Linked DNA regions of Nothobranchius furzeri. The protein of the gene in region 1 interacts with the protein of each later gene in a biochemical or structural test. Links are inferred from orthologs where the notes say so. Each region holds a gene or a part of one and is shown on either strand. Other genes may lie near its edges.

What was found.
Region 2: the proteins of eed (region 1) and ppp1r8b form a complex in vitro, tested with the Homo sapiens proteins (2 studies listed by BioGRID). The link is inferred for Nothobranchius furzeri from reciprocal best matches to the Homo sapiens genes EED and PPP1R8.

What each region holds. Positions count from the first base shown.
Region 1 is NC_091743.1:86,053,336-86,057,861, reverse strand, and holds the start of eed (polycomb protein eed), read right to left. Parts: upstream 3,080-4,526; 5' UTR 3,011-3,079; coding exon 2,906-3,010; intron 2,405-2,905; coding exon 2,252-2,404; intron 2,154-2,251; coding exon 2,061-2,153; intron 1,744-2,060; coding exon 1,678-1,743; intron 551-1,677; coding exon 425-550; intron 349-424; coding exon 267-348; intron 124-266; coding exon 32-123; intron 1-31. Other genes in the region: pwp2h (PWP2 small subunit processome component), read right to left, coding at 3,737-3,896, 3,992-4,066, 4,141-4,291, 4,362-4,526. UniProt on the Homo sapiens protein: Polycomb group (PcG) protein. Component of the PRC2/EED-EZH2 complex, which methylates 'Lys-9' and 'Lys-27' of histone H3, leading to transcriptional repression of the affected target gene.
Region 2 is NC_091745.1:72,000,286-72,004,610, forward strand, and holds the start of ppp1r8b (protein phosphatase 1, regulatory subunit 8b), read left to right. Parts: upstream 1-1,226; 5' UTR 1,227-1,432; coding exon 1,433-1,482; intron 1,483-1,933; coding exon 1,934-1,994; intron 1,995-2,218; exon of another isoform or gene 2,219-2,384; intron 2,385-2,433; coding exon 2,434-2,587; intron 2,588-2,678; coding exon 2,679-2,896; intron 2,897-4,325. UniProt on the Homo sapiens protein: Inhibitor subunit of the major nuclear protein phosphatase-1 (PP-1). It has RNA-binding activity but does not cleave RNA and may target PP-1 to RNA-associated substrates. May also be involved in pre-mRNA splicing.

The DNA.
Region 1 (4,526 bases):
AAATTGTGATCAAATGTAATGAAACACCTACAGCGCTCAGGACTTCGTCTCGATGGCCTTCTACACCTCCAAATATGGCCACCAGTGTATCCGTCTGGATGTTCCACAGACGAAGAGCGTGATCTAAAGAAAATTTCAAATGTTACAAATCATCATTTATTCATTTTCACACAAGTAAGCTTTTACTAAAAACACTGAATCTGTCAGGGAAAAGATCCAGGAGCATCTGGAGGCGTGTCGATGACCATCACCATCAGGGGCTTTACCTTTGCTGACAGACAGGAGAAGATTCGGATCCCTTGGGTGAAACTTGAGCTCGTTGATGGCGTTCCCGTGACCCACGTAGTGCTGGATGGGAAACAAACACACTACTAAATGACCCTCAAAGCCACATTTTCAAAGAGGTTCTCTACAGGAAGACTACCTTGATGCACTGCATTGTGATGTGATTGATGACCCGAATGATGCCGCGGGACCCGGCTACAGCCAACAGCGGGTGGCTGGTGTTGGTGTCATAGGTCCAAGCACACGTGTAGAAGTTCTCATCTGCCTTGGAACGCGTTCAGTCAAGAAAATCGCAGAAATCAAAAAGTTTCTGACATTTCTGCAGCTACTGATCAACTCTTGGGTCTTTCCAAAATAGATGTTGAGAAAAAGATGATTAACCCTTTAGGCGCCATAGTTTTTTCAGTAAAATATAAGTTTTTCATATCACTACTTAAAGAGCTTGTAGCTTAAATCTGGTTAGAGATAGAGGAATATTGTAAATTAGAAAAATCTTCAGTATGAGCCAAATTTTGTGATAGGAACAAATTCACTCACACAATTTTCATACTATGACATCATCAGATAGCAGCCATATTGGATTGCATCACATTTGCGGATTTGTTTGTCTTATTTTCTTAGTGTTGTTATTGTTTATGATACATATATGTGTACATAGGAATATGTATATAACTATGTATGTGTATATATATATATATATATACATATATATACACATATTACTTTATTGGTATTTTGTTATGTTTACTGCGTATCAATCAAGAACACTGTTTTTGGTGCTTCAGTGTCATGAACACATTTCACTCATCCCTTCTTTAATTATAGTTTATTTGGTTTATAATTGTTATATATATATATACACACACACACACACACACATGGTTACTATAATGGTTAGTTTTACCAAACTCACAGGACACACCCACTCTCTCAGGAAGAAAGCTTTGGTCATGCGTCAAAAACATGTGAAGTTATGTTTATCTGAACTCTGTTAGCTGGATAAGGTGAACTTGACCTCCTTTGCTGAACACATCTTTTACTGTCATCATAATCATTATTATTATACACACATTTATATAGCTAGATAGATGATAGCTAGATAGATGATAGATATAGATAGATAATAGAGGATAGCTGATAGACAGGGGCTGAATTGATCACCAGCAGAGTTTTCAACGGCCCGATCACCGCCACCACATTCCCCATGCATGAGGGCTCATTTCTGCTGCTGTGGCTTATTAAATCCAACATTGCTGCTTGTCGCAATTCTGCGACTTTGGCGCTTAAAGGGTTAACATATCTGTAAATCTTCATTTACTGATCTGTATCTAAATTAAAGAACAACAGATTCCTTTTTGTGAAGTTTAGTTTGAGCCAAAGCAGGAAGGATACATCTGCATCAACGTACGACTGCAACAGTCGGATCTCTCCCTGAGAGTGGCATTCATACAAGGTTACCTGTTAGAGAAATCAGAAATATCATTTATGTAAAACTAAATGTTTTTCACAACAAGAAATGTGTATTTTTAATGAAAAAAGTCCTGAATAATCATCATTCTTTAAAATTTGTCAAATCTCTTATTTTCTGTAACAGTAAATTAAGGACACTTGAAGCAGCTTATCAGACACAAAAGGACGTCTGATTGCTTGAAAGGCATCACCATCTTTCTATCATGCAAGATATGGAACTGATGAGCAGAAAATTGATTCTGAACTAGAAAAATTCATGAAAACACCCAGAAAAAGCCAAATAAAATCTGTCTGCTTGGGGTTACCCTGTTACTCCCGACTGTGGCGAACACCAGTGGGTCTCCTTCCTTACTGTGCCAGTTAAACTGGACTCCAAACAGTGGCTGGCCATGGTCCTCCTGAAAAATATCCACAAAGTTTCACTCCCACTTCACCTGTAAACTAAATTCTGTAAATGATGATATTTGAATGTATTTAGAACAGCAGACATTCTCACTCTTAAACTGTTAACACATTTAAAAGAATATCTGCACTTCTTGGACTTCCACTTGCCCTTGCCCCAGCTCTTCCTGCCTGGGGCATTGGCGGTGTTGGTGGGGGTGTCTGGACGCTCAGTGTTGGTCCCACTTTCAACACTGACCGCATCATCCTGTAAACCAGAGATGCGGTTACTGAAAGACAAGATGTCCAAAACAAAACACCCAACCTAACCACATTCATTTTATTGGACAAGTACCAGTAAACCTAGGCTTTATTTGGACAGAAATAAGTGAAACAAATGTTTGAAGCACTTTTAACATGAAAAACAGACTACCAGCAAGTTTTTCCTTTCCTCAAAATGAAAAATAAACATTATAAACTGCATTTGAACACTTATTTTAGGAATTTGTAAATAAATACAAGCTTCTAAATCACTCCTGCTGAAGCTAAATCGAACAAGCCAGGCTTTTTGAGGTTAAATATAAAAGCCCATGCTTCTGTGGGTCACATAGACTGATTTAGAGCCATTACCACCATCAGAACCACAGCTGCAGGTGAACAAAGATGCCAGCTAGCTAAGCTCTTTAGCTTTCCGGCTTCTTGCTTTAGCGCTGAGCTAACCGGCTAAAACGTTCACTTGTAGTTGCAGAAATGTTTATAGAGCTCTTACGTTCTCGTCTCCTGACAAATCGGGGTTGCTGTTCTCGTCACTGCTTAGTTTTTGTTTTTTGGCCGGTAATTCTTTTCCCGCTTCAGACAGGCTCTTGTCTCTCATTTTAGCTCCGAAGGCTAACCCGCCCGCTGTTCCTTCTTCTTCAATCTAATTTAAGGCAAGGTGAACTTTCAGAAGGCGCTCTGTCACCCCCTGTTGGTCACGTTTAGTTACTGACGGAGAAGCTTCCACTTTTTGAGTTTTCTGCTTTATTTCACTTTGGACAGGATTCAGATCGGTTTAAAAATAGTAAATCCCGTGTTTTTTTTAACTCCCTAAACAACCTATTTGTTAAAAAGAATACATTCTGCTCTTAAATTGTACATTTAAATGTCTAACACAGTAACTTGGGACATTTCAAGGCAATATTTCCACATTCTTCAGCTGTAAAAATGTATTTTTTCCTTGAAAATGTCGTACTATTTACCTTTGTTAGTATTAAATAAAAATAATATTTTAGATTTGTTCTTTTATATTTCTAGAAATACTTCTTTTGACTTAATACTGCCCAGCAAAGCTAGTTTTAACCACAAATGGCAATTCAGTCTTTAAGTGTAAATTTCTAATATAAGTAAGAAATAACTCCAAAAATATTTTTTGCGTGCCAAATTGAAAGATTAACCCGTAGCAGCCTCTCAAATGAATAAATTTACCAGAAAAAAGCCAAAAACAAGAAAGACACTTTTACTGAATTTATTATAAAAACAGGCTATTTTAATATTTAAAGTATGGAAAAATGGACTTTTACAGTTGAACATCTGTCAATCTGAGACATTTTTAGTAATCAGACTACAAGATCATCTCTGAGTCATCTAAAGAGGCTTCGCTCATCTCCTCCGACAACCCTTCATCCTGCTCTTCTTTCTCCTCCTCCTCGGCAGGCCTCTTTACACACTTCTGCTTTGAAAGCGCCACAGCGTAACGGATGTTGTACATGTTGAAGTTGCAGCTGTGGAAAAAAAATATATATAAATATATATATTTAATGACTTAATGCTTCATTTTAGTTATGATGATTAATGGAGCAACAGTGTTGAGACGTACAGCTTTGACAGGTTGTCAAAGTGTCTCTGGATGCTCTTCTGAAGCGCCTGCAGCGTGGGCAGAACCGAGCCAGACCTGCGGACCATAAGAGATCCAGTTAAGACACTGATGATGATAATGATGATGCGAGTCGAGGCAGCCGTGTCGACCTGTTCTTTAGTTTCTGTCCGTGCAGCATCAGCAGGTTCTGGGCCCAGGTCATGTAGAACTGCAGGTGACCTGACTTCTCCAGACAATCGGCCACGAAGCCCAGGAGCTTCTCCACGTAGACGTCGGGCAGAGAGCCACAGACCACCGGGACTGAAACACAAACTCAGTCAGGCGTCAGAGGTCCAAACTCTCCTGGCCGACGGTTTTTAAAGCCACTCACTCTGATCGTGCGGCACCGTTTCCAGAACTTCCTGCTTCAGGGCGTTCTCGTTGAGTCGGAACGCCAGGACAATGGCCGCCATCCACTCCTTTAGGCGCAGCTGTTTTCGGATGCTGGTCGGCGTCACGTCCAGATCCAGATCGTATGGGTCGAAGACCAGAGACC
Region 2 (4,325 bases), on another chromosome or scaffold:
CTATGACAAGACCGAAGCCTATGACCCTCAAACCCACAGTTTACAAATCAGAAAGAGAAAATAAGCAAAGCGTCAGTCGAATCTGGCTACTTATTCATCCCTTTTCTGTGTTAAACTCTAGGTGCTGAATCTTTGTAACAAATGCTGTAGGAGGCTTGTGGTATCGCTGTTTCCAAACCAACATTTCAAACTTTTTCAAAACTTTATTTTTTGGGTCTTTACTGAGAATTTGCAATTTGGAGTTCAGAGACCTCCAGTGGTTTCTTTAGGAACTTTAAATTTTATAAAAGCCACATTTTTGACAAATACATGTTAATATCTCTTAAAACAAAAAGGACATTTTTTTTTCTTATTTGAAACATTAAAAAACACCAAACAAATTTTTAATGTTAATTTTTTTTAATGAACATTTCTAAATGGACTTTGAGATAAATCCTTGTTGGTTAAACAAATGGCCTGGTTTTATCAAATAATAAAATAGTGGCTTTTAAAATTATCATCTGAATGAATCTGCTCAAATGTCTTGGGCTACTTAAATTATTCAAACAGAAAACCGTAAGTCATCTCAATCTAGATGTTCTTGTAAAATATTGTTTTTGTTTTGTTTTTGTGGAAAAGGTAACTTTTGCAATTTAGCCCATCCTTCTGTCAAAAGGCACTACCTTTGGATTGGCCACAGTTGTAAGAAATACTTTGTCTTGTTAAATAAAGGTTAAAAGTTTTAAAATAAAAACATCTGGCTGTGTCACACAAAATGCACTAAAAAGCTGTTTTCTAGGGGTGGCCATGGCCACCCCTGGCCACCCTTGGGGGCACCCTTGCGTGTGCTTGATTTGTGTTTTTGTTGGGCTGAAGAGAAGCTGCTTAAGTAAAAGTAAAATTTGTCACCTCCATCTGTCTGAAACATATAAACAGAATCAGTTTACATTAAACAAAACTATGTTGTTATGATGTACATTATCTTTCCAGTATAAAGAAAAACTTATCATTTAAGGTCTATTGTTTTAATATTAACAGAATTGGACTGAAATTATATAATTTGTTTTTATTTAATCATTATTAGGTGAGTAGCTGTTTCCGCCCCTGTTGCGCGTTAATGTTCTCTTTTGATAACAAATTGCAACTTTACACACAGTAGTAGATTTGTGATGATAAAATTAGTGTTTTTTATGAACTATAAATGTGACTTACCTGAACTTTTTTCTTTATTATTTTTAGTAGACTACTTCATACTAACTCTAAAACCCGAATTTAATCATAAACTCAACAATATATAAGTTCCACACACAACCACATCTATAAATGCGAAATATTAGCTTGTTTTTTGTACTTTTACTTTTTTTTAATATGGCGTGGTCTATTACCGGACTACATTTCCCAGCATTCCTAAGCGACAATTACCCAAAATGCATCGTTAACATGTAGAGGGAAGATGGCAGCTAAAACAAGCAAAGACGGTCCACCTTTTGACTGCCCATCATGGTGAGAAAATGCACATGTTGAAGTACTAAAATACCAACTGCAGCGCTTGATTATGTGCAAACGAGCAAAACGACGTTGTTACGTTAACAATTGTAACTTTTATAGAGGAAAGAAGTTCGTTAGCGTTAGCATCCAATCGAGCTAGCAGGCTAACCCCTCCTACAAGGCTAGCCTAAATGCGGATCACGGTTTGCTTTCTGCTTGAAAATGAATGAAAGGCTTGATTTTAAAAGTTTCTCACCTAGTTGAAACGTATAGAGGTGACAGCAGGACATTTTTTGACAGATATGCTCTTGAAGTATTCGGTTCGAGTGAAAAGAGCTAAATGTTTGAATAAATGAATTAAAATTAGATTATAAAATGGTTAAATATGCTGTAAATATATTTATGCACTGCTGTATTTTCTGAGATCAGTTCAGTGTTTAAATAAGTCTCTAATTGTTTCTTATAGGGGAGGAAAACCGCCCACAGGACTGCACTTAGACGTGATGAAAGGAGACAAACTGGTTGAGGTAACTGGAAATTTAAACTGTTATTTAGTTTGGACTCTTTAAAATCAGCTTTAATTATCTCAGTTCTATTTAATTTCTAAGTTAAAAATCCAGATTTGTTTAATCTCTTAAACATAAGCAAATTCCACAATAAAATGTCATTCCTTATTATTTTAAACATCTAATGATTCTGTTTTCCACATAGCAGAACACACATGTGATTGTTACTATTGTACAAATGTTAAAAGCACCAGATACAAGCCTGACAGTCTGCTCCGCCCTGTGCGTGTTGCACAATGGGGTTAACCTATGACTGCATGGCTTCAAAAGGTGCGAGAACAACATCAGCCCTGAGATTTAAGCCCTTCAGTGGAAAGCAACACTGTTGAGTTATAACTCAGAGGCACAAATGCATTAATGTACGCCATTACTAATTCACACCATCCGTTTCTCCTTGTAGAAACTGATCATAGATGAAAAGAAGTTCTACCTGTTTGGTAGGAACCCCGACTGGTGTGACTTCACCATCGACCATCAGTCGTGCTCGCGTGTTCACGCCGCTCTAGTCTACCATAAACACCTAAAAAGGCTCTTCCTTATAGATCTTAATAGCAGTAAGATTTCACAAACACTTTAATTATTTCTCAGTCACTCTGCTCTTTTAATGTATTAATCCTAATTATTATTATTTTTTTACAATTTAAGCACATGGTACCTTCCTCGGACACATTCGCCTTGAGCCTCACAAGCCTCAGCAGGTTCCAATCGACTCTACAATATCCTTCGGGGCGTCAACACGTACCTACACCATCAGAGAAAAACCCCAAACCCAAGGAAGCGCTGGCACCGGCGACAGTAAGACAGGAGATGAGGAGGAGCTAAAAGGACTGCTCGGGCTTCCGGAGGAAGAGACAGAGTTGGAGGTTTGTTAGAATTCAGATCAGCTCCACTGACTCGCCGCTTGTTACTCTTGACTTGTTTTGACATCCTGTTTTGCGCTTGTGGCATCTTAATGGAATTATTTGTATGCAAATTAGCCACAGTGTGAAATGATCTCAGTGTGTTTGGTTTTTTAACTCACTCACTGCCAGCCGTTTCCTGATCACTTACCCCCAAATTCCACTACCTCCGCTCCGACACGAACGCCGGAGCAAAATCGGTCCCGTTGTAGTCAATCAGAGCAATTCCACTACTGCGGCCGTGCTCCGGCAATGCGGCGCAGTGCGCTGCCCTCTGTTCCGGCGTCCGGCAAAAATAGAATCGATCCTATTTTCGCCGGACGCCGGAGCACCTCCGCAGTAAATGGACAGAAATCACAACCGCCCAACAGGAAAAGGAGCAAGCACAACTTCCGTTTTTCACAATAAATCGATAAAAAAAGGCGTTTTTTGTTTCATATGCACAGGTTTAACAACTTTTAACAACTATCAGTGGCGGCTGAAGTTTAAATGCACAAAAGTAAGCCATAAATACAGTTTCTACTATCAAAGTAGTCACACTTTGTTCATCCAAACACTGCTGATCTCTCAACACAAATGATGGGCAGATTAAACAGTTCATGCCGATGCTTCTCCCACACAACGGGTGTTTGGATCTAACTTCCGCGTTTATTGCTCGGACTGTATCGCAAGATCTCGAAAATCCCGTGCATGCTTGTTTGCCCACCTCAGGTCTCCGCACCGGAGCGGAGCCGTTGTAGAGCGGGTACCAGTAAAAATTGAGTTTGGAAGCGAGCGGCTGCGGAAGGCGGGGCGGACCGGACCAGAGCGGAATGGAGGTAGTGGAATTTGGGGGTAACGGCCTTCGCTGCCAGCGTTTCTCACCATTTTTATGATTTTTTTTAAGAGTCACAGAACGTTGCGCGCTAGCATGATGTCAATGCCAAAACAACCAAAAACAAAGAGGAGACTCACCTCTTACATCAGGAAGAAGCCGTGTGTTTCGAGCATTATCCGTTCTTTCATAATCCGTTGTCGAATTGTGATCGGCAGACGCTTTTCCGGTTCGCGCCTCACTTTTTTTTACAGGAACGGCCCAAAACGATCTCCTAACACATGGATGTTCTGCTTCCTGATCACGTGATATGTGACGTATGCGGATGAAGATCAGCTTCAGGGCTGAGATGTTTGTTCTCTCAGGGCGGGGGCTCGTGCCGATGCTCAAACAGTAAAAAAATGCAAATGACGACGTCATTGGCAGTGAATGAGTTAACTGCACCACATTTTTTCCCGACATCTCCAATTTTCTTTTTTTTTTTGTTTGTTTGCTTTTTACTGTTGATTTTTCAGCATTTTGACTTTGTTTATTAAGCTTCAAGTTGAAAGGAAGCAAAAAGCCTTAAATACTAGAGTT